4 linked regions of the Drosophila melanogaster genome follow. The protein of the gene in region 1 purifies or fractionates together with the protein of each later gene. This does not show direct contact. Each region holds a gene or a part of one and is shown on either strand. Other genes may lie near its edges.

What was found.
Region 2: the proteins of cid (region 1) and Hat1 purify together in Drosophila melanogaster (affinity purification with western blotting; one study listed by BioGRID). This does not show direct contact.
Region 3: the proteins of cid (region 1) and Mi-2 purify together in Drosophila melanogaster (affinity purification with western blotting; one study listed by BioGRID). This does not show direct contact.
Region 4: the proteins of cid (region 1) and mod purify together in Drosophila melanogaster (affinity purification with western blotting; 2 studies listed by BioGRID, with this or other methods). This does not show direct contact.

The regions. Positions count from the first base shown.
Region 1 is NT_033778.4:13,480,870-13,487,450, forward strand, and holds cid (centromere identifier), read left to right. Parts: upstream 1-4,747; 5' UTR 4,748-4,821; coding exon 4,822-5,499; 3' UTR 5,500-5,762; downstream 5,763-6,581. Other genes in the region: arr (arrow), read right to left, coding at 907-1,099; cbc (crowded by cid), read right to left, coding at 2,918-3,035, 3,104-3,611, 3,702-4,254, 4,323-4,415. UniProt on the Drosophila melanogaster protein: Histone H3-like variant which exclusively replaces conventional H3 in the nucleosome core of centromeric chromatin at the inner plate of the kinetochore.
Region 2 is NT_033777.3:5,784,534-5,792,456, forward strand, and holds Hat1 (histone acetyltransferase 1), read right to left. Parts: upstream 4,852-7,923; 5' UTR 4,796-4,851; intron 4,542-4,795; exon of another isoform or gene 4,412-4,541; 5' UTR 4,300-4,411; coding exon 4,233-4,299; intron 4,181-4,232; coding exon 3,679-4,180; intron 3,585-3,678; coding exon 2,936-3,584; 3' UTR 2,804-2,935; downstream 1-2,803. Other genes in the region: kat-60L1 (katanin p60-like 1), read left to right, coding at 580-848, 897-1,534, 1,732-2,206, 2,262-2,587; Rpn5 (regulatory particle non-ATPase 5), read left to right, coding at 5,243-6,291, 6,351-6,507, 6,570-6,872; Hpf1 (histone PARylation factor 1), read left to right, coding at 7,440-7,923.
Region 3 is NT_037436.4:19,905,040-19,913,265, forward strand, and holds the start of Mi-2 (Mi-2), read right to left. Parts: upstream 5,177-8,226; 5' UTR 5,041-5,176; coding exon 5,004-5,040; exon of another isoform or gene 4,595-5,003; intron 4,541-4,594; exon of another isoform or gene 4,159-4,540; intron 1-4,158. Other genes in the region: Prp3 (precursor RNA processing 3), read left to right, coding at 5,439-6,480, 6,535-7,289; Mtr3, read right to left, coding at 7,552-8,226. UniProt on the Drosophila melanogaster protein: ATP-dependent chromatin-remodeling factor which acts in nucleosome-remodeling by catalyzing ATP-dependent nucleosome mobilization. Involved in regulating transcription. Plays a vital role in development.
Region 4 is NT_033777.3:32,048,370-32,056,821, reverse strand, and holds mod (modulo), read right to left. Parts: upstream 4,763-8,452; 5' UTR 4,646-4,762; intron 4,503-4,645; 5' UTR 4,426-4,502; intron 4,342-4,425; 5' UTR 4,088-4,341; coding exon 3,845-4,087; intron 3,577-3,844; coding exon 3,267-3,576; intron 3,200-3,266; coding exon 2,465-3,199; intron 2,399-2,464; coding exon 2,058-2,398; 3' UTR 1,848-2,057; downstream 1-1,847. Other genes in the region: krz (kurtz), read left to right, coding at 4,983-5,553, 6,953-7,794. UniProt on the Drosophila melanogaster protein: Its capacity to bind DNA and protein(s), and its differential expression during development suggest a role in the regulation of gene expression during Drosophila development.

The sequences.
Region 1 (6,581 bases):
AAATATGCCGGCAATTACCGGGCAACTTTGCCATATTACAACTGCTGAATTATTAGTGAGCTGCTTTTTTCAGCTCATTAGCGTCGCATCTAGTGGAAAAGTGTTTGGTGGGGCCGCAGAGTTGTAGTAGTCGTAGGAGTAGAAGTAGATGAAGAAGGGGGTACTAAATTATGCGCAGTGCAATCAAGTTGAGTGCGTACTACAGTCTAAATAAGTAGTAGTTGTTTATTCATAAAAGCATTGCGCCGAGAAATTGTCAGCCTTTGGGCTTTGACAACACGAAAAAGAGCTTAAAGGAAAACGCAAAGCGGCAAAGGAAGGGGCTAAAAGGCTGGGCGAGGGGCGGGGAGCGGGAAGCTCAAAAGTGCAGTTGAAACCACATAAACAAACGCATACAGTGGGCACTCGAACAGGCAACATGCCTGAAATGCAGTTCAGTTACTCATATTTTATCTATGGGATTTTAAGCTTTTAAATTCAGTGAATCATTGAAATAAGGAACTATACTATTAAGTAAATATTCTATCTGAATAGTAATTTTTGATGTACATATTGAAATTTTGCTAAATTAACTATTTAAAATGAATATTGACCAATAAATATAAATATCAAATATTGATTTGAGACTAAACACTCTCAATTTATAATTCAATCACTTGGGAATCACGCAACTACGTTGGTTCACATTAGCGAGCGATACCTGTAGTACAAAAGCCTTTGAGGAAAGTAGAGGAACGATATCAGCGAACCCCCATTCCCATTACAAACTGTCTATCCCTGCGGTTTTTTGAACTCAAAGCCCTCGCCACTCGTCAAATTAATCGAACTGCCATCAAATGCTTGTCAGTTCCCAGCTCCTTTGGCAAAACCGTTGCCCTTTGTTCGAAATGAAAGCACAGAACTTACCATTTTTGTACTGCCAACTGTTTGAGATGCCAAAGCAAATCAGTAGAAAGCCGATCAGCATTTGTCGCCAGCCCACTCCGCTGTTAGATTTCGTGCATTTCGTCGCTTTCGTTGTCACATCTTCATTATTATCTATAACTTGGCACAATTGAGGTTCGATTTCAGCAGACTTTGTGTATGGCTCGAGAGCCATCTTATTTTGGAAGCACTATCTCCGGAATTTTAAGACATTTGGCGCAAAAACAACAGATGACGCGACCCGATCGTGTTTGTCTTTTGTTAGGCGCACATGGTAATCACACGGAAAAACTGCAAGTGGAAGGGAGAGGGAGGTTTGAAAACAGGTCGCTCTCGAAAATCTTTCACTCCCTAGGGTATCAAATAACACCCTTGTTTTGAACTCTCGTTTGTAGTTACAACAGTATTTGCAGAGTTATGCCTGTTAGTAAATAGGTTTTAGGATTTTTGTTTTACTTTCTACGTATCTTTTTTAATAGATTAATATTGGTTCAACTGTTATGACTACAATACAATTCAAATTTATTTCAGTTTTGATCACTAGTGAGTTAATAACTTTTAGTTCCTCGTGCTCGCACTTTTGTTGCGTAGTGTAAGCTAGCTGTTGCTTATGTTGTTGTTATTTCAGTCTTTCAATTGAGTTTCCCGCTTCTTTGTTGACGAGTGTGATCGTCTTGTTTGCATGTGTGCGAGCCACCAATTGTTGTTGTCGTTAAGTAGCGAGTGATAAGCAATTGTGCAACTGTGTGAGGGCCACCACACCGCCATCACCCCCTCCGATCAACTGGTCGCCAAATTGAAATACTGTAAGTGATAAGGTGACTCTGGGTAATTAGGGAACCTCTTTTGCCGCCGCTTCTACGGCGCAACAAGCCGGCAATCGACGAATTGCGGTGCGTGCGCGTGTGTGTGCAACCCCCAGAAAGGCGCAGCGCTGCACTTTCCAGTGGAAAATTTCACGACGCAACCAAAACAAACGCCGTTTGCCGCTGGAAAATGCAGCAGCAACAGAGAGCAAGTGAGAAGAAAACACACAAACACACGCGCACACATGCACAGACGCACACACACACTGGGGGAAAACAGAACGTCTTTCAAGCAGGCCGTAAATTTAGATGCCCGAAAATCTCTTGTTTTGTTTTTAGAACCATTTGATACACATTCCAACAACAACATCAGCAACATCTCGCATGCTGCACAACAAACACGAAAAGCACGACAAATTCCACAGTATCTATGGTTTATGCCCGTTGAAAGTGTATTAATCGTCGCCGTTTCATCGCTATTTGTTGTTAAACCAACGCAATTCGACCGAGCGCAGCCATTTTGTGGTTACTTTGTTTTGTAAATATTTGATTTACTTTTCACTGAGTTTTCCGTCCGCCGTGTTGCCGTGTTTTTCGTCTCGCTCTTTCGAACAGTGTGACCGCACTGAGGCGACGTACGCAGCCGTCAGTATGGCTGCACCTAATTTGCCTAAATATTACCAATTGAGTGTTCTAAATATACCAAAAATATACTGGAAGTAGAGTAGACGTTTGGTTGCACACCTTGCTAAAAAAATTTAGAACACCATTTTGTTTGAATTATTTTCGAATAGAATTACATAATTTTACCAAATGGCGAAAAATGCACATTGCAAATATATTCAAATGCAATTTTTACAAAACCCTTTTTCAGTGGTTATAAGAAACACATAATAATACATACATACACATACAATACATATACTGAATATTATATTCTTGTATAGTTATAATTAATTATAATAGTTTTCAATTTTCAGAAATTACAATATTTGTTTGATATATGTTCTATTCTTTTATAGCAAAACTTAATTAATTTTTGCAAAATGTTATTAAATGTTATTTCAGTTGTTAAACTTGTGGAAAACTTTAAGTTTACTACTTGCACATCTAAACTGTATTTTTTGTAACGCCAACATTAATATAAAATTTCTTAAATTACATCTAGAGCAGAGCATTTACAAATGCTAGGTATGATTATCCATGAACTGCAGTTCCGACCACAGGAGCAGGGCGTTCGGGGGCAAAGGTCGCGGCTGCGGCGAAAGCAACATCACTGCCTGTCTTTCCATATCCACTTCGGTTCTGAGGATAATCAAATAACAATCATATATAACTAGTATAATATCTAGTTTAGGTTCAGCAGCACTTACACGCAACAAAAGCCGGCCACATTGGTGCCAATCACATCGTCCTCCACGGACTCGGCAAAGCTGAGGGCCAGCACATGATGGATTAGGGCGGGCGTGGGTGTAACCGCCACCACCTTGGTCTTGTTGTCCTCCGCCTTCATTCCAATTGGCATGCAGGAGTCGGGCAGCGGCGGTGCGCCGATCTTGTAGAGTCGCAGGTCCTGGAACTTCACCTCGAAGCTGAACGGATAGAAGGGCGCCCTTGTATTGCCGTAGAAGTACTCCTTGATGCGCTGATCCCTCGCCTCGTGTCGCAGTTCCTTGCTGCGCTCGACGACGCCGCCGCTCTTGGGCAGCAGTACCACATGAACTCCCTTGGGAACATCTCGAAGCAGCTCGTTGTATAGTCGCTCCTGGTCCAGAACAAAGATGGCACAGGCTCCATAGGCTTTGGCCGCGTGCAACAGGTGCGCGTAGCCGGATCCCTTTACCCAGCCACAAGTGTTTATAATAATGCCAGAGCTTTTTGCTGCAAAAAGCAGATGCAGAAATTTGCAGTTTATGAACGGGAAAATGTATTGAAAAGTGCAAAGATATGTGTTACACCTTCCCAACTTACTTCGCTTGTTGCTATTCAGAGATTGCAGTGTTACCTCTGCCATTTTGGAAACCACGGCATTGTACAGCACGCTGTTTCCGCTGGGAGACTTATGGCCAAAGTGATAGACCAGCGGCGCTGTCTTGGCGAATCCCTCCTCAACGTTCGCCGGTCGCTCGATGAGAATGGTGGCCACACTCCCGGAAATGGCAATCGAGCCCTGTCCAACATCCAGGTCGGCGTACAGCGGTCGACGACCCACGCGCACAGCATAGTTAAGCAGGATGCGGCACAGAGTGCTCTTGCCCACGTCCATGGGACCGACGACCATGGCCACTGGTCCGTAGCGATCCTTCTCCTCGGCCTCCATGCGGAACTGCTCCAGTGCCGCATGACAGTTGACGTACTGCACCATTGGCGTCTCCTTGGAGATGTAGCACACGTCCATTTTGCCGGAGACGTGGAGTACACAGCCCTGGTACGTGAAGATGGCCACCTTGGCGCCCACGCCGAACTCGTACTGCTTTTTCTTCACCAGCTCCGTGCCGAACAGCTCCGCAAATCCACTGACCAGCTGAAATCAACAATTTGATTATAAATAACGAATTTATTGTAATCCAAAAAGGTTTTTGCACTACTTACGGACACCAGCACTTTGGCATCCTTCTGCTCGATTTCAAAGCGCAGCTCGGAGTCGGACTCCAGTGTGTAGTCTTTGCCTTGGTCCTCCGACATGGCTGTATCTTCAGTGCTCTGCTAATGAGTTTTAATGGCGAAATAGGGTAATTATCCAAAAATTTAGGAGGTAAACAATTTCACATCAGCTGTGCACTAACGATGGGAATTGATCGATACCTGTATAGTAGTAATTAATCGATTTCTAGGGGTATAAATGATCACTGCAAAATAAGTTAAAGTACTGGACGTCTTTAAACAATTACCATGTATTCCCATTAATATTAATTGTCACATAAATAAACATATTTTAATTCTCAACTGCTAGAAATATATTTAGTTAGTCAGTGCCCATTCAAATCGGTATCGGTACTGGGCATTATTTGCTTTGCTTTATACGGTCACACTGTTCCAAAAAAGCGGGAATTCTTTAAAAATATTTTAAGCAAATACCGAAAATTTGAAAATGCCACGACACAGCAGAGCCAAGCGCGCACCCAGGCCGTCGGCGAACAACTCAAAGTCGCCGAACGACGACGACACGGCCTTCCGCTCGCCGGAGCCAGAAGACGGCACCGACTACGGCCTCGAATTCACCACCAGCCAACTGACGCTTCAGGACAACAATCGGCGTTCCTCGACGTTGCGCAGGGACGCCGGACGGAGGCAGCCGGCAGCGAGAGACAGCTCCACCAGTGGCGAGGAGGAGGACCAGGAGAATCGCTATCCCACAACCAGATCGCCGCAGACGCGTCGAATGACCGTGCAGCAGGAAAGCAAAACGCGAGCAGCAGGGCCAGTTGCTGCGCAAAACCAGACCAGGCGGCGCAAAGCGGCCAATCCCATGAGCAGAGCCAAGAGAATGGATCGTGAGATCCGGCGACTGCAGCACCATCCCGGCACACTGATACCCAAGCTGCCGTTCTCGCGTCTAGTGCGCGAGTTCATCGTGAAGTACAGCGACGACGAGCCGCTAAGGGTCACCGAAGGCGCCCTATTGGCCATGCAGGAGTCGTGCGAGATGTACTTGACGCAGCGGCTCGCCGACTCCTACATGCTAACCAAGCATCGCAATCGCGTCACACTGGAGGTGCGCGACATGGCATTGATGGCCTACATCTGCGACCGGGGTCGGCAATTTTAGTCCAAAAGAGAAGTTTAGGCTTAGTTTAGTTATTTGTTTGAATAGTTGTGTATATCCATTGTAGTGTTTACGTAATGAAAAGTTCAAAGAGTTTGTTACATCCCCCTTTTTGTACCAATTAGAATTAGCTTTAAATAAATATTTTTGCTCGACAAGATTGTTAATTTCACTCAAATGGTTCAAAGTAATCAATTCACTCAAATAACTCGTGATTTTTATAAGAATCGGGATGAACTTCACCAAATAAATAACATGTCATTGAGATACGTATAGCATTTCGTTTTATTTCTAGTTCTTGCTGCTTGCTTCGTCTCCATTTTCATGTACAACATAAAACATAATCCATAATAGTTTAACTATAAAGTTGCCGGCCAGCGCCGTGCGAGCTACAAACATAGGGTTTCAGCTAGGATTAGGATGCATAAGATGTAGTCACGCGAAACGCACTTAAATTATGGGCCTAGTCCAAGGTAGGTAGTGCGCTTTTTGAAATGAGTCACCATTTAGAATGTCGCGGCCCATCGGACGACCTCGATGTATAGAGAACTAAGCACTTAAACGAGTAACATGAATAGATAGATAGTTTAGATACTGGCCTCAACTGAATGTGGCAACTGCGCTCGCACTTGATCTGCTGTCTTTCGTGGGATGGATCGATTGCCAATGGGTGGTTACAGGACTTAAACGTAAGTTGAGCTTTCGTCAAGCTATTTTCTGGCTGGCGGCTCTGCTTTCTTTTTGGCATTTGCACATGTGTTAATTGGGCGCAGTAAAAGTACTGCTGTCTAGATATATTACAACTTACACAATCATACAAAATATAGGTATTTATTTTCTTTAAATATTTAGCCATATAATTGATATCCGGAGACTGCAACAGTTCTGTCTCCCAGCAGCCTTAGCCACTTTGCCTTCTTTGCTACAACGACGCGTTGTAAACTATATCCTAAAATGTAGGAGCCACATCTTGCTTCGCCCTTTCGCTAACTTCACTATCTGCTTTATTGTTTAGTTTCATTTCGTTTGGTTGTTTCTCAGTGGTTTTGGTTATGTTTATTTAGCCAAAACATCGACGGTGAATT
Region 2 (7,923 bases), on another chromosome or scaffold:
ATGGGAGGGTCCTCCGCAAGGGCTAACTAATATTAGGCGGCTAGACACGAGGATTCCAACCGGTATATGTGTGTGCACACACCAGGACACGCGAGCCACTTGTCCGCGGCTGATAAAGCAAATGACCTTTGCGACATGGCCAAGTTGAATGGCAGCTCCATGGAGCCACCTAATAGTTATGGGTAGTTAGCTATGAGTTTTAAAAATGAGCCCATGGGTTTTGGTTTTGCGTTGTTTGGTGGCTCTTAATTATATCCTTATCAGTTATATGTTATGTTTTTTACAGATAAGGAGTTGTAATGAGATAGTTTGGGAATCCTTAAGTGGCTTCATTAGATTCGTATAGTATAGTTTCCCAAAACTTTCTCCCAAAAGATAAAGATAGAATTGACAATAACATCTTAAAGATACATCTCAAAATACCTAATTAAATACGAAAATATTTGGGTTTGGCACTAATGGCATTGATCATATTATGTTATTATAGGACAAGGCCTATTATCGATTCCTCTTTCCTGTTATAATATTTAGATCTTCTACTGGGTAAGAGCAATCAATGAATACCCTTTCCTTCTCCAGCTCTTCCACACCTCCGACAAGCCTGTCGCACATGGCCCGGATGATGGACTCCCTGATCCTCGACTCGCTATCCCCATTTGGCTTCACGAAGATCACGGCCACCAGTCGACCTTCCCGGAACGCCAGCTTGAAGAAGAGCTCGGAAGGCGGCCACTCCTCGACAGCAGAGCGCCACCGGCCCGTCAACAACCTGGGCTCTAATGCACCTGGGGGATTGGGCATTGGCGGAAGTGTTCCGTTGCGCAGCAAGCAGCGGCTACCCACGCAAGGTTGGTGCTCCGGGTGGCGGGGTTTCCTATATAATCATTAAAATGCAGTTTCCGCCGCAGAAGTGGCACCACAACCGCGAGCCAGTCAGACGGCCCAAATGCCATTTCCGTCGCAGCAGCAGGATAATCGGTGGGTGTCCTCCCTGCGTCGGCGGGATCCCGAGCTGCAGCCCACTTTACCCTCCATCAACAGCAATGCGAACAGCAGCAGCCTCAGCCAGAGCCACCACGGAAGTGCTGGGAACGTGGGATTGGCGGGCGCAGGAGCACCTACACCCGCCGCCAGCATGGGCACAATGCGCCTGGGGCGACCAGCAAGGGCATCCGCCATGACCGCCGCCTTGCGGAAGAGCCGATCCGTGGAGCGCCTGCGGGCCAGGAAGCTCAGCACAAACACCCAGCTTAACTTGAAGCACAAGCCGGTTAAGAAGAACTCGCTGGACGAAAACTCCAACTCGGATGACCAAGACGCCACCACATCCCTGGAAGACAACTCGCACGCCCAGTCCCTAGCCACCAGCCACAACACGCCCAAATGCTCACCGAAGACCAAGGCCAAGCACTTCTCGCCCTTGGGCTACGAGGTTCATCTGGTGGACACCCTGGAGAAGGACATTCTGCAGCGCCATCCGTGCATCAAGTGGACCGATGTGGCTGGGCTCAATGAGGCCAAGACAATACTCCAGGTGAGCTTTATGTTCTGAATCGGAACTTCCGATATGCACCCATACTAGTAAAATATATATATCTGTGACATCTATGACTAGAATAGGTTTAAAATTGAGGTCCACAAATATAAAAGTGCACCTCAGAGGCGTGCAGAAGACCTAAATTAAAAGTAGCTAACTTCATATGTATGTACATCTTTTTTTTACCCAAATAGGAAGCAGTGGTGCTTCCGGTAATCATGCCGGAGTTCTTCAAGGGAATCCGCCGGCCGTGGCGTGGAGTGTTGATGGTCGGTCCGCCGGGAACAGGCAAAACCATGCTGGCCAAGGCGGTGGCCACAGAATGTGGAACCACCTTCTTCAACGTGTCCTCCTCGACCCTGACCTCGAAATACCGAGGAGAGAGCGAGAAGCTGGTGCGTCTCCTGTTCGAGATGGCCCGATTTTATGCGCCCAGCACCATTTTCATCGACGAGATAGACGCCCTATGCGCCTCCAGGGGCAGTGACTCGGAGCACGAGGCCAGTCGGCGGTTCAAGGCCGAGCTGCTCATCCAAATGGACGGACTCAACGCAAGCATGCAGGAGGAGAAGGTGATCATGGTGCTGGCGGCCACCAATCACCCGTGGGACATCGATGAGGCTTTCCGGAGACGTTTTGAAAAGCGAATCTATATTCCTCTCCCAAACGGTAAGTGCGAGCCACTTCCTTTCCTGCAGTAAATAATAGTAATATTATGCTCCAGAGGGCACCCGATCGGCTCTCCTCAAGCTCTGCCTGAAGGACGTATGCCTGTCGCCCAGTCTGAACACCGGAATAATCGGCGACGAACTGCAGGGCTACTCGGGATCGGACATAAGCAACGTGTGCCGGGACGCCTCCATGATGGCCATGCGGCGCCTCATTTCCGGACGCACTCCCGATCAGATTAAGCAAATCCGACGCGAGGAGGTTGACCAGCCGATTACTTTGCAGGACTTCCAGGACGCCCGTCTGCGCACCAAGAAGTCCGTCTCTGCCGATGACGTTGCCCGCTTCGAAAAGTGGATGGAGGAATACGGGTCGTGCTAGTTGTACGGGCTGCTGGCCCAGCACCCTCGATAATGATCGTATCCCATGTGTACTTCCCGATCACAATTATTTGTAACCTGTATAAATCGTACTCGTTAGCCGTAATGTTTTGTTTTATATACGCTTAATTGCTCAAGTGCCCCACGCCCAGCATTGCTCCTCTATGTACGTGCACACGGTAATCTGATATCTTATAAATACATAATATATATATATATATTTAATTTGTAATATTTATTCAAAGGAATCCTACTGTAGGCTTATAGCAACATAATGTATTTTGTAATCAACATATTTGAAAACAGAGAAACGAAATAAATTAATCAACACCTTTTGGATCCACAGAACCTACGAGGCCCTCAACTTGGCAATGGTGCTCTGGTACTCCTGCTCGACCACGCGGTATTCCTCATGCAGCTGCTCCATTCGTTGTTGAACCGTTGGCAGGCGAGCACGCAGCATTTCAGTGTCCATCTTGAAGCGCTCCATTTTCTTCAAATCCTTTAACTGCTTGTAATAGACCGCGTTAAGCCGTTTCTTAACTTCCAGACGATAGGGTCGGTACTCCTTTTCATCCTTCACATTGGTGTAGAATAAACGCAAAAGCTCGTACACCTTACGCACCTGGAGGGGATTGAGTTTCAGAGCCTCGCGAGCTTCCCGCACCATCTCCTTGTTGAAGCCCTTGACTATCTCGCCTGGTGCAAACGACTTCAATTTCATGCAAGATCGCGCGTCCACAAAATTCCTCAAACGCTGGAAATCCTCAGATGGATCCTCCACTGTTATGTCCACAACATTCTTCTGTGACTGATAAAACCTGTAAATGCTCTCGACCAATTGGGTAGCCAAGCCGAGTTTCTGGAAAGGCGGCAGTATCAGCATCTGGCTTATCCTGGGCCTCTTGTTTTGCGGATAGGCGTAGTACTCGTATACGGTGGTGTAACCAGCTGTGGCATACTGCCACTGGCCATCGTTGTTCTTGTACTTTTCGTAGCTAAAGGAATGCAGAATGAGAAGAGGACGTTGTTATTGAAACCAGCTACTGATTTTGATAACAAAATAAGCCAATCTTCTTGTAGAAAACTTACCTCAAGAAGTAACACCACTGTGGATCATCAGTGTCGATGTAGGAGGCAGCATCCACGAACCACAAGATGAACGTCTGCAGCCGGGCAAAGAACTTTAAGAATGATGAGCTCTTGTACTCGCACTGGTAGATCTCGAAAAGGCGCTCGCTGCCGTCGTCCGATACCCGCCTGTATTCGCTTATCTTCTCACCGAAGGGCTGAAATTTGTCAGCCTTGTCCAGTGTCTTAAGAAACTCATCAAGATTGATGAAGTAGCAGCCGTCCGGTAGACTCTGAGCAATTGTGCTGACGACGTCGTCTGCCTTGATCTCTCCGCCGGAGATCTCATTCACCCGTTTGCCGTAATCGACGCCCAAGTAGATGTGCAAAGGTCCTGCCGTGTACATTACACGGACGTGCAAGTCCTGGTAGCCGAAAATCGTCTCGGTCTCCCCGAAAATCTGGTGGGCCATTGCGGGATGAAAGGTCAGGGCATCATTGTTGATGTCGGCCTTGTCACGGACTAAAAACGGGAACATTGCAGTTCTACCTCGCTACGAAACAAGGATACTTACTCAGCTTAAAGTCTACCACTTCGAGAGCATCAATCACAAAGTCCTGGTACTTCTCGATTTGTGCCATTGTTGGGTACTTCAAAAGGCGGCAATCGATTCGCTTTCGCAAATGGTGGACCAGAAGATCTTTCCGGAACTTTTTACTTGTGACCGTTAAGTAGTTTGCAGCTAACTTGTTGCTTTAAAAATCAAAAATCACGTTGTTTATAAAACCAGACAGCTTTTTGCAGGCGTTCTAGCGCAATTTTCGCGGCTAAACAAAGTGATTGGCTTTCCAACAATGTTGGACAACGCAAGACGGTGAATACTAACCAACAACACTAGCCACGGATTGGGCTGTCAGATGTGTCGTTTAAGCGATAGTTTAACTATTGGTGCTGAGATTACGATTGAAGATATAACTGTTATGTGTTGATTGCAGGGTTGGAAAGAATGAGAATTTGTATAAAAAAGGTAATTATATCATTTTGTTGCCATAAAAATATTGTTGTTTTTAAATCAGAAGTTACGCAAATTATGTTGTTTCGATTGTTAAACCTCTGACAACCCTATGCGCAATTTACCGATGTTTTCTTGATTTCGCAGTCTTCCATTTTTCTGACAAATTTTGAGTCATACTTTGAGTTGAAATTATAAAAAAAAACCCTTTGGAACGTAATTTTATCCCTACAAAAATATCTTTGACTGTGACACATCTCGCTCTGGTACTATCACTTCAAAATTCACCTTTTCAACACTACAAAATCCCGCAGCCAACTTAACACAGCATTTGTAAGCAAAAATTTGTGCGGAGATTATTATTAGAAAAAAGCCGCTTTTGCATCCAATAACTTTAAGAAAAGGAGCAGACAAACCAACCAGGTTTGAAGCAAGACGACATTTATCATTTCCTATCGTGAAAAACAGTTTTAGTAGATTCTGCAGCAGGGTAAAGGCGAAATATAGGTAGGTTGGAAAACTGCCTCGTCATATCGGCAAAAATTGAAGTAAACATTTTTTTGTAGAACACAATGGACACCTATTTGTTTGATGGCGGCCGCATCACCAAGATGGAGGTGGACTACGAGCCGGCGTGCAACGAGAAAATCCCCCTGGCTAAGGAGCTGGCCAAGAAAAACCCCGACGCCTTTCACGAAGCCATCGAGATGATGCTACAACTGGAGAAGCAGACGCGCCTGGGCGCCGACATGGTTTCTTGCTCACGAGTCCTGGTTGCCATCTGTCAGATCTGCTTTGACGCGTCCAACTGGAACGCCCTCAACGAGTACGTGTCTCTGCTGGTACGCCGTCGCTCCCAGCTGAAGCAGGCTGTGGTCAAGATGATCCAGGAGTGCGTCACGTACGTGGACAAGACGCCCGACAAAGAGACTAAGCTGAAGCTTATCGACACACTTCGCTCGGTTACCGAGGGCAAGATTTACGTTGAGATCGAGCGGGCCCGTCTTACTAAGATTCTGGCGGACATTAAGGAAGCCGATGGCGATGTCGCCGGAGCTGCCACTGTCATGGAGGAGCTTCAAGTGGAGACTTATGGCTCGATGGATAAGCGCGAGAAGGTGGAGCTCATCCTGGAGCAGATGCGCCTTTGTCTGTTGAAGGAGGATTACGTATCCACGCAGATCATTGCCAAGAAGATCAGTATAAAGTTCTTTGACGATCCGGCACAGCATGATCTGAAGCTGAAGTTCTACTATCTAATGATTCAGTTGAACAGAGACACCTCCTTCCTGAATACTTCGCGCCATTATCAGGCCATAGCGGAGCCTCCGCGCAAGAAGACTGGCCTTACACCCGTAGACTCTGCCGCGTCCACGGATGAGCAAAAAAAGAAGGATGACGATAAGAAAAAGAAGGAGGAAGATGACAAGGATAAGAAGCCAGAGGTTGCTACAGAGGCTGAGGTCGAAATTGAACTTACCGAGGAGCAGAAGAAGGAACTGACGGAAAAGCTGGTTTGTGCCGTGCTTTATTGCGTTTTAGCTCCCTTCGACAACGAACAGAGCGACATGATGGCACATCTTTCGAAGAACAAGAAGCTGGAGGAAGTGCCCGCCTATAAGTAAGTACATTTGATTTGAAGTACATTTCGAGCATGTTATTTTATTTTCGATTTAAAAGGGAAATTCTGCGCTTGTTCATGTCAAAGGAGCTGATCAACTTCGACACATTTAATGCAGACTTTGGGCTCGTGTTGGCTGAAAACGAGATGTTCAAGGATAGCACCAAGCATGGCAAGAAATGTATCACCGAGCTTAAGGATCGTCTGATAGAGCATGTAGGTTTTTTTTGATTTAAATCAATACTAATAATAACTAATTGCTACTGGTTATTTCATAGAACATTCGCATCATTGCCATGTATTACTCCCGCCTGCATTTGGCGCGCATGAGTGAGCTGCTGAACCTGCCCACCAGCCGCTGCGAGGAGTATCTTTCTAAACTGGCCAACACCGACACCATCCGCGTAAAGATCGACCGTCCCGCCGGCATCATTTACTTCACCCAAAAAAAGAGCGCCTCCGACATCCTGAACAACTGGGCCACCGACGTCAACCAGCTGATGTCCCTGGTCAACAAGACCTGCCACTTGATTAACAAGGAAGAGTGCGTCTACTCCGTCATGTGTGCTGTCGAGGATTAATCCTGTTCCATAGGTGCTTAGAATAGTGTTTCCCCCTTGAAGCGCCTATCCACACGCAACTGTAATTGTACTAACCCCTAACCATCAACATTTCGATTCTCTTCGTGAAGTTTGTATTCATTGAATGAACTACAATTATTAAATGAATCCCCCCATTAAATCTCCATGCAATTCAGTGCAGTTTTTGCCAGTCACTGGTGATTTCCGGCGGTATTTTACAACACTTTTGGGGGTGTGTGCAGAGTGCTTCTTCTTATCCAGGGAAGTCAACATGGGCGTAGATCTAAAAAAATGACTAAAATTGAATTTAAGTGTCCAATAAAAGTATACAAGTTTATGAAAAGTTTATTAGCTTTTCACCAAGGGGAAATGTCTGGGCTGTAGTATATAGTGTAGTATTTTCTATTACCCAGCTGTCATGGTAAAGTATTTTTCTCAAATGGGTCAGAATCATCCCCTTGCAACTTTTAACGGCGTCACTGGATGCTTGTTATTCTTGTTAATTGTGCCATAGCAAACCTCACATTTTGCAAATTTGTTTGAAATCGGTATTGTTGTTACTTAAGAATGCCAAAAGAAGATTGCAAATACTGGGATAAGTGCTATCAGCAGAATCCCGCACATTTGTCCAAATACAATCATCCGAAAAAGCAACAAGAACACGAAGTGGACGGCGCAGAAGGCAAAAAAGTGGCGCCAAAAAGAAGTGCATCCTCGCAGTCTGGTGAACAGAAAAAGGAAGAACAAACGGAGCCGGTGAACAAGGATAAGTCCAATACGAGTGCTTCAAGTACGGAGATGGTGAACAAGGATACAGCCAAGGGCAGTTATGAAGCCGAAACCGAGGAGCTTCACAAAGAGGCCATGAGCAACATATCCGGAAAGAACTACATGGAGATCTTGGAGAAGCGCATCCGCCTGTCCGTGCAGAAGGAGTACGACAATCTCTGCGAGTCCAACGAGTTCATTCGACACAAGTTCCTTGTCGAAATGCCGCCGGACTTCTACGAATTTTGGAAGTTTGTGGGAAGCTTAAAAATTGATCCTGCGA
Region 3 (8,226 bases), on another chromosome or scaffold:
CTGTCAACTACTTTTATTTCTGTCTCTTGGGTTGGTGGTAATTTTAATGTCGGTTTTTTGGATTTTATTTGCTGGTTTCTCAGCTATAAGAAACTATGCCAAAGTTAACTACGGATTACAATAATAATCACAAATGTTCAGGTGCGGTCAGCAAATTACCTCTAATGTTCTATACTGTGTGTTCAAAAGGCTTATTAACTGCTTATTTGTATATAAGAGTGTAAATCCGCTATAATTAACACACAAATGAAAACTAATCAGTTGCTATGTTAATAGGTAGCTACCTACACATTTCGATAAACCAAATTTTAAAATAATTAAAAAATTGTTGGGTATAGATATTTCTTTCTATGACCTATACTAAGTTATTTTTGTTTGCATGTGGGTGTAGATGTTTACTTATATTTTCATGCCACAGCATCCCTATGATTCATATTTTTAGGGTTTCTCTAATTAGTCATAACACCTCTGGTATTTGTATTCCTTTTGCGGATAAAAACTTAAAAACGCCACAATTTTAAATCGTGAATCACACATTGAATACTTTAAAGGATTTAAAAAAAAAAAAAAAAAAAAAAACATGGATATTAAGTACATTTTCTCTATCTAGAGTTGAGTTTCGGTTCGCTCTTTTACGACCGAGTACGCATCGACACAGAAATGTTTTGAAATTCTGTGCTAAAATCGTGACCTCCACTGTAAACAGTGGGCGCTGGCAATGTCGTTGGCAACAATTATGCACCTTGTTGGCAATGCCGAGCTTACAAGCTGTCGCATTGGCTTAGCGAGCGACTAATTGGCTAATTAGACAATAGTGAAGCGCAAAGAGAGCCGATTAAAATGATGATTTCGATTACATTCGCTAATGCGCTAAAACAGCAGGAACGACACAAATTTGCTGACACAATTACGCATGTTTTGGCAAATGGCACACATAGATTCGCGTGCCATTGTTTTATTTGTTTGTCTGTTTACACACCCAGAAAACATACATAAACCTATATTCGGTGACAATCGAGCACAAATTTGGTTTTGCTGTGGGCCGCAAACGGAGCCCGATAACAATTACAAAACTATTGAACCAATTAAGTTAAGGCTATTAAAAACAGCAAAAACAATTCTGCTTGTTTTTTTTTTTCAGAAACACAACAAGAATAAGAGGAAAATAGAGAGCGCAAGAGAGAAGCAGAAACGGAAACCACAATGGCGTCCGATGGCAAGCGAATTTTACGACGAAACGAAACGAAACAGCATTTGCCATATGACCATTTATGTTTCGGCATTTTCGCTGCGTAAACATTTCCATATGCAAATATTAATGACCTTCACTTTCACCTCATATGCTAAAAAAGCATTTAATTGCAGAGGGACTACAGGTATGCAAGGTGATCTGTGATCACAATCATTAACACATTGCCTATTTGCTACATACAAATATGCCCATCTGTAATTGAGCTTAGATAAACACATTTAAATTGGGCCAGTCAAAAACAAACAATTTTCGAAGAATGTCCAGAGATTTCATTTAAAATGTAACTGGAATGGTAACAATCGATTAATTTTCAATAGTTTGACAACCCTAAAACCATCTCTAATACACTCCCACACACGCGAAACGGAAAGATAGATAAAATTGATCAGTACAACAGGTGATAAGCTTCGATTAATTTTCACATTCCCATAATACTACATTGAATGCTTTAAAAATAAATGAACCCGTACACAATCCGGTACATGTGTATACGTTTGCGGTGGCGGTGACTTCCAAAAAAGAAAAAACGGCAACAAATGTACCATATCAATTGCTGCCTGAATTTTTGTGACAGTGTGCGAGAGTAATGTGTGTGCATTGGCGTAGGAATAATCTGAAACAAATAGCGGCCTTCTCTCCCAGCGACAACAAGACAATTACTGTAAATAGGTGAAATAACAAGACAACCAGCAGTTGCACAAATATTAAAAAGGCACACAGACTGACAGACCAACCAAAGGTATTACGGTAATCAATGTCAAACGCTGCCGATTTTGTGAGTATTTATGTGTGCGTCTCTGTATTCACTCCAGCCGAAAACAACAACACCTTCGCTTCGGAAGAGCGACACACACGCTCATATCAAACCGCTTGGAAAGAGAGAAAGGCACATAGAGCGGACTCGAACGATGCGCGTCAAATGTCAAAATCAAGAAGAACAACAAAAACCATTATCGAAGCGACCTAGTGTTGTTCTACTTGAGAGAGCGTTTTTTGAATAAAAATGAACGTATTTGAAAGCTAAAATAATATTTACTTTTCCTATTTATGTTTCATAGTTTTGTGGACTTTAAGCGCAAGTAAACTTTTTCGAAATGCCAGCACACACATACCATTTACCAATTATACAAGCATATATATTTATAAAGATATGTATATGTATATACATGGCGGATATAAAAAAGCACCACTTGTTGTTGACTTGATTGAATGCAGTGCGTGCGAGCGGGATGGCAAGTTGTGTTTCGCCAAAGCAAGGTAAGATCGTCACCAATACACCAGTAACTGCAGCTCACATACACACACAGTATACTTTCACTTCTTGTATTGAATTTTTGATTTTATTTGTGCTGGCGCCATGTTGTTGTTGTTAGACATGGGGTTTTAAGCAGATTTATGCAGTCGGCAACAGCGAAGCTTTTGATAAAAAAATGACAAGAATGCTCAGATTAACAACGAAAAAATCAAATTATTTGGATCTTTTGAAGATACAAAGTTGCGGTAATGAATGTCATTATTATTAATACATTTGATCGATATGTGCTTTAATTGCATGAAACATTGAAACGGTGTCAAATGCCATTGCGTATTTCTTGCTGTGTACGTAGGAAAAATGCATACGTCATTGCCGAAACCTTCTTATCCCTCTCACACCCTTTTATTGTTGCATTACTGCATAAATAGTGGCACTCATACATGTGCATCGTTTTAGCCTTTTGTAATTTATGCGATGTCGCATTACTCTTGATTGTTTACTTGTGGTAGAGTAATCGGAAATCGGATGGCAATGTTAAAGTAAACAATTTTAAAGACAGCATAGCGCAGCAAATCATAAAAATTATCACAGAACCGGCAAATGGTGAAATTAGGAAGAAGAAAAATGGGGAAGAACCAACGTTGGCTGACGTCACAAACGTGAGGGAAAAGACAGAGCGAATTAAGCATCCTCCTATCGATGTATCGAAGGATAACGGCAGCGAATCCAATTAGAATGAGCACCGAAGGACGGGGAGGGGAACGTGTTAAAATTAGACATTGAATTCTACTCCCACGCTATTTCTCTAGGATAACTTCCTCACGCACGCACACCGTATACATATACATACACACGCCCACAGTGCAACAGCGTCGAACGGAGAAGCAGAAGAGAGGCGAATGAGGGCAGGGACAGAAGAGAGAAGAGGCCTGTAGACAGAAGAGGAACAGCTGCGAACGAATTAACATAAATTGTATGCAAAATTGGGGTGGCTATGGATACTGCTGCTTTTTGTTACACAGCGGCGGCATATTGTTTATCAGTTTTCCTATGAACTACTACTACATTCCAGCAATTTCCTCGCGAGACGGGCACCTTCCCATCCCATCCCTTGGCATCGTCTCTTTTCCACACTCTACTTTTCTCCTTCTTCATCTTACTTGTGTGTTGGCATATTTTGATTAACTCGTTAAAAAGACTATACTTTAGTTGTTTTGCAGGCACTTCGGTAGGATTGCATTGGTAGCTATATTTTTGTTGTTGTTTTTAACTAAATTTAATTTAAACGCGTCGGGTTTCTGTGAGTTTTTTTTTATCATATACGTTGGAGCGACAGAGACGGGGCGACGGCGACGTTTGGCTGGAGCGCGCGTGCATAACACGCACACACACAGAGACGCAAGTACGCGAGAGAGTGGAGAAATCAATCAAGAGAGCACGTCGGCGAAGGGGGAGTGGAAAAAATCACATATGTATGTGCGTCAGTGGAAGTGCGACAAGATTTTCCACAATATTCCACGCATCTTTGTTTCGTTTCTTTAGATATATGCACATATTGCTTCGTTTTCTTTTTGCATTGCTTTCTTACACAATTTATAATATATATATGCATATTTTGTGGTAATTTCAGGTTTTTATTTTTTGCACACACTTTTCATCATTCTTTTTTCGCTTTTCCTTCAGTTGGATATATTACGCACTGGATTTGTGGCTTTACACTGGCAATCGGTAGGCGGTGGCGAGTAATGCACGTATTCCCCTTAATTAACAGTTTTCTCTACAATTAATAATGTAATCTCTTTAACAAAAACTCAGAAATCACGTCATGGCTGCCACGTCCAAGCAACAATGAATGTAAATGGTGGCAGATGAGGCCGTCTGGGCATTCTCGACTAGCTCCAAAAGGGGCACACTATTTTTCTGGTGATACCATTGCACAGCCGATGATAACACTGCATATACGGTAACACCACAATAAGTGTGAACTAAAATGAATTTTCCGTATATTACAATTGACACTTGACAATTCACAGGTAAAGTAAACATCTTAATTGCTAAAGAACTTAAGATAAAACTTAATTTTAAAGGATTTACAGAGTATTCCACTCAAAACTTTCGACCAAAACAACCATGTAAAACATATGTTTTGATGAGTGAGCAGGACGTCTATATATTGCCTGCATTCGCGAATGGAGGGAACACAAAAATGCAATAAAAAATATGTGTGGAATGGAGGAGGCGCAAAAGACCCCAAAAAAACGCGCCACACATGTACAAATTTCACCAATTGCTGTAATACAAATAGTTTATAACGAGGTACAGCAATGACAATGACCAATTAGGATAATAGGCAACAATAAACAATGGGAGGGGGACGCAGCACGCTGCGCGGCTTTGCGGCTCTTGAACATGACCACGGTTCTTAGCCTGACCGAGCGACGGTCGGACCGAGTTTTTTTCACGCCGACATTTGGCCGACTGAAACAATGCACTTACCCTGGAAATTATCGTCATTCTCTTCCTCCGATGCCATTGTAGCACTCGAATGCAACTTTTACACTGTTTGAGCACACGAAATTGTCTTAATTTCCACAACAAATAATTAAGCACACACAGACACGACGAGAAAAAAATAGTCAATTGTAAGCGGCTTCAACAAATATGGCGGAGCGGAGAGCGACAAAAAGTGAGAGAACTAGGGTTGCACCCCGATAAAAGAAAGCGAAACGGTCACACTGGCGACATGACAACCCTGACTTTTATGTTTTTTTAACGACCCTGTCCTAACGTGTTTCGGAGAATTTTTCACCAAAGACCAAAAACCTTGTGTATTGTTTTTGAATTGCAAATCGCTGATTTAAGCTCAAGGAATGTGCCAAGCAGTTGGTAAATAACATTTACTTTTTAGTCCGACCCATTTAATTGCGAATTATGTCGTCCATTATCACGCGCAAGGATGGCGACGACCAGAAATTGTCCAAAAAGCGCGCTGCCGCCTCAGATTCCAAAAGTGGTGGTGGAAGCGCCCTTGAAGCGCCCAAGAAATCCCGCTTCGATGTCCCGGAAAAGAATGGCGGCGGTGGTGAGAAGAAAGAAGAGGTCGCCGTGCCCGCCTCGCTGAGTTCCACGCAGATCAAGCTGATGATGGCCCATGCCCAGCGGGAGATCGAGGAACGCAAGCGGGCCCTGAGTAATCTAAGAGACAAGGATCCGCTGCTGGCGTCAGTTCCATCGATCGGAATGCCAGTTGCCTTAGCCACTCAAGCGCTGGCGAAGAAGCCCACGCCCGAGGACTCGGAGAAGGCCAGGAAGATTGCCGAGTTGCAGGCACAGATCAGGGCCAAGCTTACTGGCAATTTGGCTAGTTTGATTCAGCCCACTGCGGTAGCGGCCGCCGCTGCAGCTGCTGCTCAAGCGCAGGAGCGACCCAAACCCCTGATTCTGGACGATGAAGGACGCACTGTGGACAAGAGCGGACGTACCATTAATATTCCCACGGTGACACCTACATTGAAAGCCAACATACGCGCCAAGAAACGGGAGGTGTTCCAACGCCAAACGGGTTTGGGTGAACGGAGTGAATCGGGCACTTCGGCCCAGGAAGAAGCTATTAAGTACTTTGACGACCGCATAGCCCTGAAGCCCACTGTTAGAACCAAGAGGACGTTGAGATTCCACGAGCCCGGAAAGTTCCAGCAGCTGGCCGAACGAATGCGCATGAAAAGCCAGCTGGAGCGACTACAGAATGAGATTTCGCAAATAGCCCGGAAAACGGGCATCTCGTCGGCCACCAAACTGGCATTGATTGCCCCCAAGCAGGACATGCCGGACGATGTGCCTGCCATGGAGTGGTGGGACTCAGTTATACTGACCCAGGATCTGGAGACGGTAGACGACGCAAGCGGTAAGATAAGCATACGCCAAACAGCCATAACCAACCTTATAGAGCATCCCACACAAATGAAGCCGCCAAGTAAGTTGAAAGCTAGAACATGTCCCACAAGCAACTAACCACCTACTCCTTCAGATGAGCCCTTGAAACCAGTGTATCTGCCGGTTTTCCTCACAAAGAAAGAGCGCAAAAAGCTTCGTCGCCAGAACCGTCGCGAGGCCTGGAAGGAGGAGCAGGAGAAGATCCGACTGGGTTTGGTGGCCCCACCAGAGCCGAAACTGCGCATATCCAACCTGATGCGTGTGCTTGGCTCGGAGGCCGTACAAGATCCGACCAAAATGGAGCAGCATGTGCGCGACCAGATGGCCAAGCGGCAGAAGGCGCACGAAGATGCCAACAATGCGCGCAAGCTGACCAGCGAGCAGAAGAGCGAAAAGAAGCAGCGCAAGCTGAGGGAAGACACCAGCTGCGGTGTACATGTCAGCGTCTATCGCATACGAGATCTGCAGGACAACCAGAGCAAGAAATTCAAGGTGGAGACCAATGCCAAGCAGCTGCAGATGACCGGCAGCGTGGTGTTGTTCCGGGATTGCTGTGTGGTTGTCGTGGAGGGTGGGCCCAAGCAGCAGAAAAAGTATCGCAGGCTCATGCTAACGCGCATTAAGTGGGAGGAGGACAACGCCAAGGGCAATGACGGCCAGGACGTGCCGAACTCATGCGTACTCGTCTGGGAGGGGACTAGTCAGCGACGGCACTTTGGCGAGATCAAGTTTAAGATCTTTCCAATGGAAAAAATGGCCCGTGAGTTTTTTCAGAAGCACCAGGTCGAACACTACTGGGATCTGGCCTACTCCGGAGCCGTGCTTGAGGCCTCCACGGATCAGCAGTAGATAAAAGGCATTTTAAGAATTGCTAGATACACTACAGTTCTACAAATTCACTTTCGGAAAGATACAAGTCTGAATTAAAGTTTTGAAGCGCGCTACGCATTTGATGTTATTATTTTCGAAGCTATTCGGAACTTTGGAAGTGCAAAAATAACGAATAAAAGTTTTATCTGGACTCTAAATATTTGTAGTAATCATTTTTTAAGTGGTGGTTGTTGTTCAAATAGATCTGGGATTTATATTAGTATGATTTATTCTCAACCAACTACTGCCTCTTTACATAGGGATCCTCCCGGATGTTCGATTGTATAAACTCCTCTGGTCCTTGCTTCTTTAGCTTCTCGATTATTTCCTCCAAACGCTGATCTTCTAGAGCGGTCTCGGCTTTCTCGCGTAGATCTAGTTCGTGCTGCTCCTTCACCCGCTTCGTGAGCACGCCTTTGACTAGTTCTCTCAGGGACTTGTTAATGGCCAGGGTGTAATCCAGCAGCTTTACATAGGTGGCTGGACTGAGATATCCGCACTGCTGGCACTGGGCGATCTGTTCAAAGGTATCCATGCTGGCGGTAATGATCAGGCCGTGCTCCTGGGCGGATGATGGGCTGGTTGTGCTATCGGTGCTGCTGTTGCGATGCTTCCAGAGCAGCTCCTCAACCTTGGCACTGGGATTCAGGAAGACGTGATCCCGATAGATACAAGCTGTGGAGGCCGTAATTAAGTCGTAAGTGGAAATGCCGCACTCCACCAAAGCGACTCCGCAGCAATTGATGGCAGTGCTGAGCAGGCAGCCGTCATCGTCGAGAATAAGCACCCGTATGTCCAGCTGAAAGTTAAGGAACTCCGTGCGGCACACCACCGGCTCCATGGCCTTGGTCAGCATGCTGCTCAGGTGGCGTTCCCGTTCCGGCACCGAATCTAGATCCCCTGTGCTGAAGGCCGC
Region 4 (8,452 bases), on another chromosome or scaffold:
GATTTTCTGCTCATTGAACTTATTTATATAATCTTTTACTTTATACCATAGTGAACTAATGTTTGTGCTACTTTGTAACCAAATCGAAAGATCAATGTCACCATGTTCTCCGTTATTTAAAAATATAACAATTACATTTAAAATGTTTTTAATACATTTTTTGATCACATTCGAAATTTCATTAAATTGCGTCAAACATTTACAAATTGTCCTTTATCAAAAAGAATTATGTATTGAATAGGAATTGTGGCACATGCCAAAAGAAAACAAAAACACATGAATAAAAGCAAGAAAAAGAAAGAAATGAAAATTCAAGTTAAGCTATCGGCGTCTTAAGGTGAATATACCGAAAACCAAAACGAATTAAAACTAATCCAACGAAAACCAAGGTTATTTAACCAGCGAAACTTGTAGACTGCTTCTTCAAAAAAATGTCTATACATTGGCCGAATTTTATGTGGTTTTATTGTACTACCAAGCACCTTTATTTTATTATTTAACAAATCTGTAAACATATTATATTTCAATGGATTTATAAATTTAATAATGTGGAAATTGAGCAGCACTATAAACATGTTCAGTACTAATATTAAACGAGGAAAAGCTTTTACCCAGTGTTTTCTTATAATTTTAAAACGTTTTCCATTTCATATTTTATTTCGTTTGACTTATATTTTTTTGTGACTCAGTTAAAAATGTATTATTATTTATAATTTGTTGTTTATGCCACATGGATCAAAAAACTGAATGTATCTCCAGCACACTTATACGCTCTTTATTTGTCTGTTTAATACAATACTACAATTATATAAAAATAACAAGAAATATTTTAAAAATCTTTCAGTTGTTTTATTTTTGTATTCTTTTATCCTTTGTGTAGGCATAATTTTATAAGCTTTGTGAAAGATAGTGTCACCTACTTCAATTCGTCATGAAAGAAAAAGCTCTCGTGAAAGTATATCTAAAAAAAGTAATATTCTAGGGCTTATAATTTGCCTATACAACGTATATGAGTTATGCACGGCTTAAACGAACTCTGAGATATATAAGTTGTCAAGTTTAAATAGTAAGCTTGTTTGCATTATGTATTTTCAGAAGTCCCACACAGTGCCCTTCACTTTAATTTGCCTTATTAGTGATTTTCTGCCTAAGCTATATTACGATAGCGATATTATATTTCTTATAAAACAAGGTCAAAAGCAACATGAGACAGAGACTTACATATAACACACAAAAACTTGTCAGTAAGCCAAACGCGTCACGAGCACAGTTTTTTGTAGCTTGAACGAACTATATATAAACAGAGTGATTGGGAAATTCCTAATCGAAAGGGTTTTTTTTAGGTTGGCTAAACTCCCTATACGTTGCTTTTATCCAAGTGATGATTTTTTATACATATTTACACATAAAAAGGATAAACTAATTTTTTGAACCAACAATTACTGAAATTTAAAGTACTAATCTAAATGGCATTTACAAAAAATATAAACATACATACAAACATTTACAAGTTTATACATATGTTAGCCAACCATATTAGATTTCTGAGTATGAACAAAAAAATTCAAAAAATTATAAAATACTACAAAAATGTATTACTAATAAATTAATTATACAAAGGAAATTCATATAGTTCTCGCTTTTTGAACAAGCGCAGCTGTACATTGGGCCATTTGGAAGGGATAGGAACCTATATACGAGAGTACCGAAGCGAGATAAAATTCAAACACAAAAAAAAAAACGGAATATACTGGAGATCGCACCTGTATACGTTCATATAAGCAGTAAATCGTTTTTTGAAGTATCTAGTTACCCAAAACCAAGACGTTGAATACAAAATTCTTATCGGGGTTTTTATTTACTTTTATTTAGTTCCATGTCCGATGCTTATAAAAATCGACATCTGCTTGAATACGGCTAGCATTTCTCCGGTAAAAATTTAATGGAGTATCTCTTATCAACTAAATCCATAACATCAAGTTGTATGGAATTATCGGGGCTGTGGCCGTATTTATGGTACTACGCAACTTAAAGCTAATTCTTGTAGTGTTCAAGTTCTAAAATCTTGCCCTTTTAACAAACGATTTACCACCATTCTCTTGTGCCGGGCGCTTGTTAAATGGTTTTTTACCAAAGTTTGGCTTAGTGTCCTTTTGGAACTTCCGCGGGGCGCGGGTCTGACCAATAGCTAAGCGTTTCTTTAACAATCTATGCTTCAGCAGAGAGTTTGGCTCAATAAATATAGGGGCGTTGTTTACAATGCTTTCATTAGCCAAGAAAGATTTGCAGAAACCCTCATCGTCCTTGAACTTTACTACCGCTTTTTGGCCCAACATTATGATGCTTTCGATTTCGCCGCTATCGTTAAACACTTTCCGCAGGTCGGCTTCAGTAGCATCTACAACGAAATTTTACATGATAATGATTAATAATTTTAAACAATTTTACGAAACGGGTAACCCACCTGAAGTCAAGTTCGTCACAAGAATGGCCCTCCCCGAGGTGCTGCGTTCGAATCGGTGAAGCTTCCACTCAAACTTATTAACAGTCTTTCCGTCGAGTTGTGCTAAAGCCTTCGTGGCGGCATCCGACTGCTTGAACGTGACAAAAGCTAAAACTGCCTTGCTGCACACAACGTCGATTTCTTCAACATCACCAAATTTTTTGAATATCTTTTCTAGAGCGTCGGAGCTGTAAGACTCGTGTTTGCCCACATTTTCGACAACCAAGGTAAGTTCACTGGTACGTGAAATCGATTCTTGTGAGATCCGACGAACCGTTATAAAGCGAGAAAACAGCTCAGTGCTATGCAGTTTAAGAGCCTTCGGTATGTCATCGACCGACGCCAAACGTACAAAAGCTCTGGGCATGAGGCGGTTACTGGATATAGTCACCGCCTCCACGGGAGCTACCTTCTCAAAAAAGGTTTTTAAGTCGTCCTTGGTAATATTAGGTCCAATCAGGCCAACCACCACCGTGCGTTCGTTGTTCTCTTCCTTATTTCTCGGTTGGGACACAGACAAAACATTGTCTCCAAGGGTTAACGCTTTAGGCTTAGCCTGCAGAACAGCTTCTGCTCCAGTTGACGTATCAAAGGCAATGAGAACTGATTTATTGCCATTCAAATTAGTGAAACGCTGCAAAGCGGAAAGTCGTCCGAACTTGGCGAACAATGCGACCAAGTCCTTGTGGAGATACTCTATGTGGAACAAATATACTAAGTTTAAATATACTTGAAAAATGAAATAATAAACCAGTTACTTTACCGTTTGGTAGGTTTGTGACAAAAACGATCTGGTTTTTTGGCGTTCCCAGCGGAATCTTGCCAACCTTTACTTTTGGAATTCCTCTATTTTCTTCGGACTTTTCAGAGTTGGCTTTTTCTGATTTCTTGGAAACTGGCTTCTCTACAGGCGCTTCTTCATCATCATCGGATTCATCTACCTCATCCGCGCCTTCACTTTTGGAAACCTCACCAGGCTCCAACTCATCGTCATCATCATCTTCCTCATCGTCACTATTGTACTCTTCATCTTCCTCAGCCTCGTCGTCAATTAAGCCCGCTGCCTCTTCGGTCTGAAAAGTAGACAATTTTCTTATAACCGCTGATGGGAGAGCACCAATAAAGACAATTTTTTTTTTATCGATATATGAACCGAGTCGGTATAAAACCAGAGGATCGTGGGTTATGTGCACTCGTCTTATAATTATAAAATCTTTACAACCACGTGGCAAAGAAAACGTAAAATGGATTCTTATCCATGCAGATCTATATATACGTGCATACTATGCATGTAATGTTAGCCATATCCATTCAGAAGACCACGTTTTTTTTATAGCTTACCTCAAAGTCGCTGTCGTCCCCTGGCTGCTCGTCATTTTGCTCCTCCACATCAGACTCGTCCTCTTCACTGAACTGCGGCACTTCTTTAACAGGCTGTTTTCTGGATTTTTTGGAAGGCGATTGGGGGACTACTGTCTCCTCTTCCTGTACCTTTGTGGACTTGGTTACCCGTTTGGCCAAAGGCTTTTCCTCTCCATTCGTAGCTTTTTTTCCTTTGACGGTGACGGCTTTCTTTTGGGCCATTTTGACAGCTTTTAGAGGTTTTCTGGGCAAAATTAGCAAAGTCAAGTTTGGACTGAACAACGCGTGGTTTCGTTCAATAAAATGCACGTGGAAAAGAGGGACAGAACAGTGTGACCGTTGTGCTCTATCGGTGCTAAGGCTGATTAAATAAAGTATTTTAGAGACTTCAATCTCATTTTTATAGCTCTATTCCACTACTAAATATGGTTTAAAGTCCGTTCATGCACATGTATACATATAAAAATAATAAAAGCCTTTAAAAAATAAAATAAATATTAAACAGTTTATATAAAGTATTTATTTAAGACTTAGGATACAATCTATGATTAGATATTTACCAACGGTCTGATTTTACATGTGTTTATACATTCCAAATGGTAAGTTTCCTCAATCATCAGCTATGAATCATCTGTTTCTAAAGGAATTTATAATATATATATTATATTTCATTAAAAAGCCAAGTCAACCTGCAGTTGCATTTTATCTTAGTAGGAAACTTAATGTTAATTCAAGCAATTGTTAATGGTATTGAAAGAAAAATTATTAAAAGTCACTTACTATGGGCCAGGGCACACTTAGGAAATATAAATAGGTGCCAAAAATGCAAAATAAATATTAATTATAGGCTGCGATTATGGTACGACCAAACATATATCGGTTTGTTCGCACTGAATTGAAATACCAGAGAAGTACATAATTTGTTAGTATGTAATATTCCCTGGTATTTTTCCAATGACTGTCAAGCAGTGCTGGTAAATGGCGGAACAAGTATACACATAAAAAATTAAATTGCAGCACAAGTCCCGCAACGCACACATATATTTATTTAACGGAGTTCCAATTAAGCAGGAACAGCAGAAAAGCAGAATAACAAGCATAACCGCCAAATAACATAATGAACGGTGGTGGTGGAGGAAGTGGAGGAGCAAATGTGAGCAATGGCTCCAGCACCAATGTAACAGCTGCCGGGAGCACTGGGGGCGGAAGCGCAGGCGACGAGACTGGTGGAGATGCCAGCTCCAGACGCCAGGCGACTCGGGTGTTTAAGAAGAGCTCCTCCAACGGCAAGATAACAGTTTACCTTGGCAAACGGGACTTCGTCGACCATGTCACGCACGTGGATCCCATTGACGGTGTTGTCTTCATTGATCCAGAGTACGTAAAGGACCGTAAGGTTTTTGGCCAGGTGCTTGCCGCCTTTCGGTACGGACGTGAAGACCTAGATGTTTTGGGATTAACGTTCCGTAAGGACCTGTATCTGGCGCATGAGCAGATCTATCCGCCCATGCAGCTGGACCGCCCGATGACCCGGCTTCAGGAAAGGTTAATTAAAAAGCTGGGGCCGAACGCCCATCCGTTTTATTTTGAGGTTCCGCCCTATTGCCCAGCCTCTGTGTCCTTGCAGCCGGCTCCTGGAGATGTGGGCAAGTCTTGCGGAGTAGACTACGAGCTGAAGGCCTTTGTGGGTGAGTCTTTGTGGGTCTGATCTTGTGGGTGTGTCCGTATACGGTGGTCAGTCAAAGTCAAAATCATTGATATTTCGCAGTGTGGCACATACCGTGTTTATTATATATGTTGCAATACATTAAATTTACAAATTTACAAATTTTTCTTTTTTCTTTACAAATTTTTCTTTTACCTTAGAGCAGTTAAATTGCGGGTACTATTGTTTCTGAGAATAAAATAATTTATTAAGAATATGGTTACAGTAGCAAAACTAGCTTTGTTCTTTTCTATAGAAGTTAGACTGTAAATTTCTTATATGTGTGGTTTTGTGTAAGTTAGCGCGTGCATCACGCGGTTGGGAACACAGGGTTAATCAATCCAACTACGTCGGGCTGATGACGCAGCGTTCACCTAATTGAAATTCGACACTTCTAATTGGAATTTGAATCAACCGAAGTTGCAGCGCAGTTAATGCTGTTGTTCGCCTTAACCAGGCGCCGCAGTTGGCGGTCTGACGATTTGTGTGCCAACAGCAAAGATCTTACATAGTTTCAAAATGTTTATTTGTTTAGTTTCTAATCTGTATTTAATAATTAAAAAAAGGTTTAAAGAATTTGTGCTTTATTTTATTAGTAGAAAGGTTTTTGGTTTCTGTAAATTTTAAATTTTTCATATTTTCGTACGATCGCCGAGCTCCACTCGCATATATATTATGTGCCCGTGGCACCCCCTTAATACATTCTCTGTTCAATAAATATTATTACCTATTGCCCTATTTTGTTTACACATTTTTGTGCTTTTATAGTTTCTGTTGGAATTTTATTATTATTCAGCAGCCAAATTGTTTACTGTTATAAACAGAGATTAATAAAATAGCAGCAATTGGCGTGTTGTTGGGTAAAAGAGTTTATAACAAGAACTTAATATTTATTTTTTCTGTATATAAGCCCAAATTCAATTTAAGAATAAAAACAACAATGTTGGAATTTGTACAGTTGGAAGAAACGATTTCTCAGTGCTTCTCTGCTTCCCCTCATGACAATTGAGTCAGCATTTTTATTTACTTTGCGTCTGTTCAATTGTGTATCTAATGTTCCTAGCTTTTATGTTTTTGGGATAACCAATTATATATATTTATGCGTATTTTTAAAGCAATGCTATTGATGATCAATTAAATGAATGTATATGCATATATATGAATAATATATATATATATATATATATATATATATATCCATATGTAAATGCCAGTAATTGTCGGCTTGTGATTAAACATCGTGGAATTCTATACATGATAGACTCAACATCAACGACAAATTTTGTAACGAATCGGACTACTGACACACCCGAGCGTCATGGGTTTTCTTCAACAAACATACATACATTGATGCCATTATTCATAATGTTTATCACTAATAGGTGAGAACGTGGAGGACAAACCCCACAAGCGGAACTCGGTGCGACTAACTATTCGCAAAGTCATGTACGCACCATCCAAAGTCGGTGAGCAGCCATCGATCGAAGTAAGCAAGGAGTTTATGATGAAGCCAAACAAGATCCATTTGGAAGCTACTTTGGACAAGGAGTTATACCACCACGGCGAAAAAATATCGGTCAACGTTCATGTGGCCAACAACTCAAATCGGACGGTAAAAAAGATTAAGGTATGTGTCCGGCAGTTTGCGGATATTTGTCTCTTTTCGACGGCGCAATATAAATCTGTAGTGGCAGAAATCGAGTCAGAAGACGGATGTCAAGTGGCTCCGGGATTTACACTCTCGAAGGTATTTGAGTTGTGCCCCCTATTGGCAAATAATAAGGATAAATGGGGCCTTGCTTTGGACGGGCAGCTAAAGCATGAGGACACCAATTTGGCGTCTAGCACTCTCATTACCAATCCTGCTCAGCGTGAGAGTCTCGGTATTATGGTCCACTATAAGGTGAAGGTGAAGTTGCTGATTAGCTCGCCACTTCTAAATGGTGACCTCGTAGCTGAGCTGCCATTCACACTAATGCACCCTAAGCCCGAGGAGGAAGAGCATCCACTGTTAGGGGAGCGATCGCCACGGGCTAGTTTAGCAGGCGGGGGTCTGCCGTTAGTGAGCATGAGTGACGGAGAAACTGAATCGGCTACTGGCGGGCAGGATGTGCCAACGACAACAAATCTCATTCAGCTGGACGACGACGAGGCACAAGATGACGACATAATTTTTGAGGACTTTGCCCGTCTGCGTCTAAAAGGCGCTGAAACAGAGGCCTAGATGAAAAAGGAATAGATCGAACTATTAATTCATATGAAGAAAATACTACTATTATTTTCGGCATTTGTATAATATAAAAAGTATGAGAAAATTGGGCAACCTCTAAATGTAAAGTTTTATACCAATAGCCATGGTAAACAGTTGGATTTAAGCTATTTTATATGTGTAGGCCATATATTGTAGTATCTATAGGGTTTAAGCTGAAAGTGTACGAATTTTAAAATGTGAAATTGATAAACCAGTCAACACACCAGATCTACACAAAATGCCCACGCATAAGTTAACTACACGAGCGAAGTATTTCGGCCACACCTGTAAAAGTTGAAAGAATTCACAAAATTTGATATGTAAATGTTGTATAATATTTTTTATTAAATGCCCTCTCCCATTATAAAAACGCATAAAACAAAAATTCATTTACAAATTCTAATGATCTTTTTATTATGCCTCTTCTTTTTGGGACATTGTTATTGCTTTGCAATGCATTGATAATTTGTTCGCAACTAATTTAAAATAAGTTTTTTGAGTAGAGTACGTTACTAAAAATGTTTCTAGATTTCTTTTCTGCAATTAAAAAGAAATGTTTTAGGATGGCTTGAGGTTTGGATGTTGTTTTATAAATATTCTTCCAATATTTCAAAAATAATTTGTTTTCAAA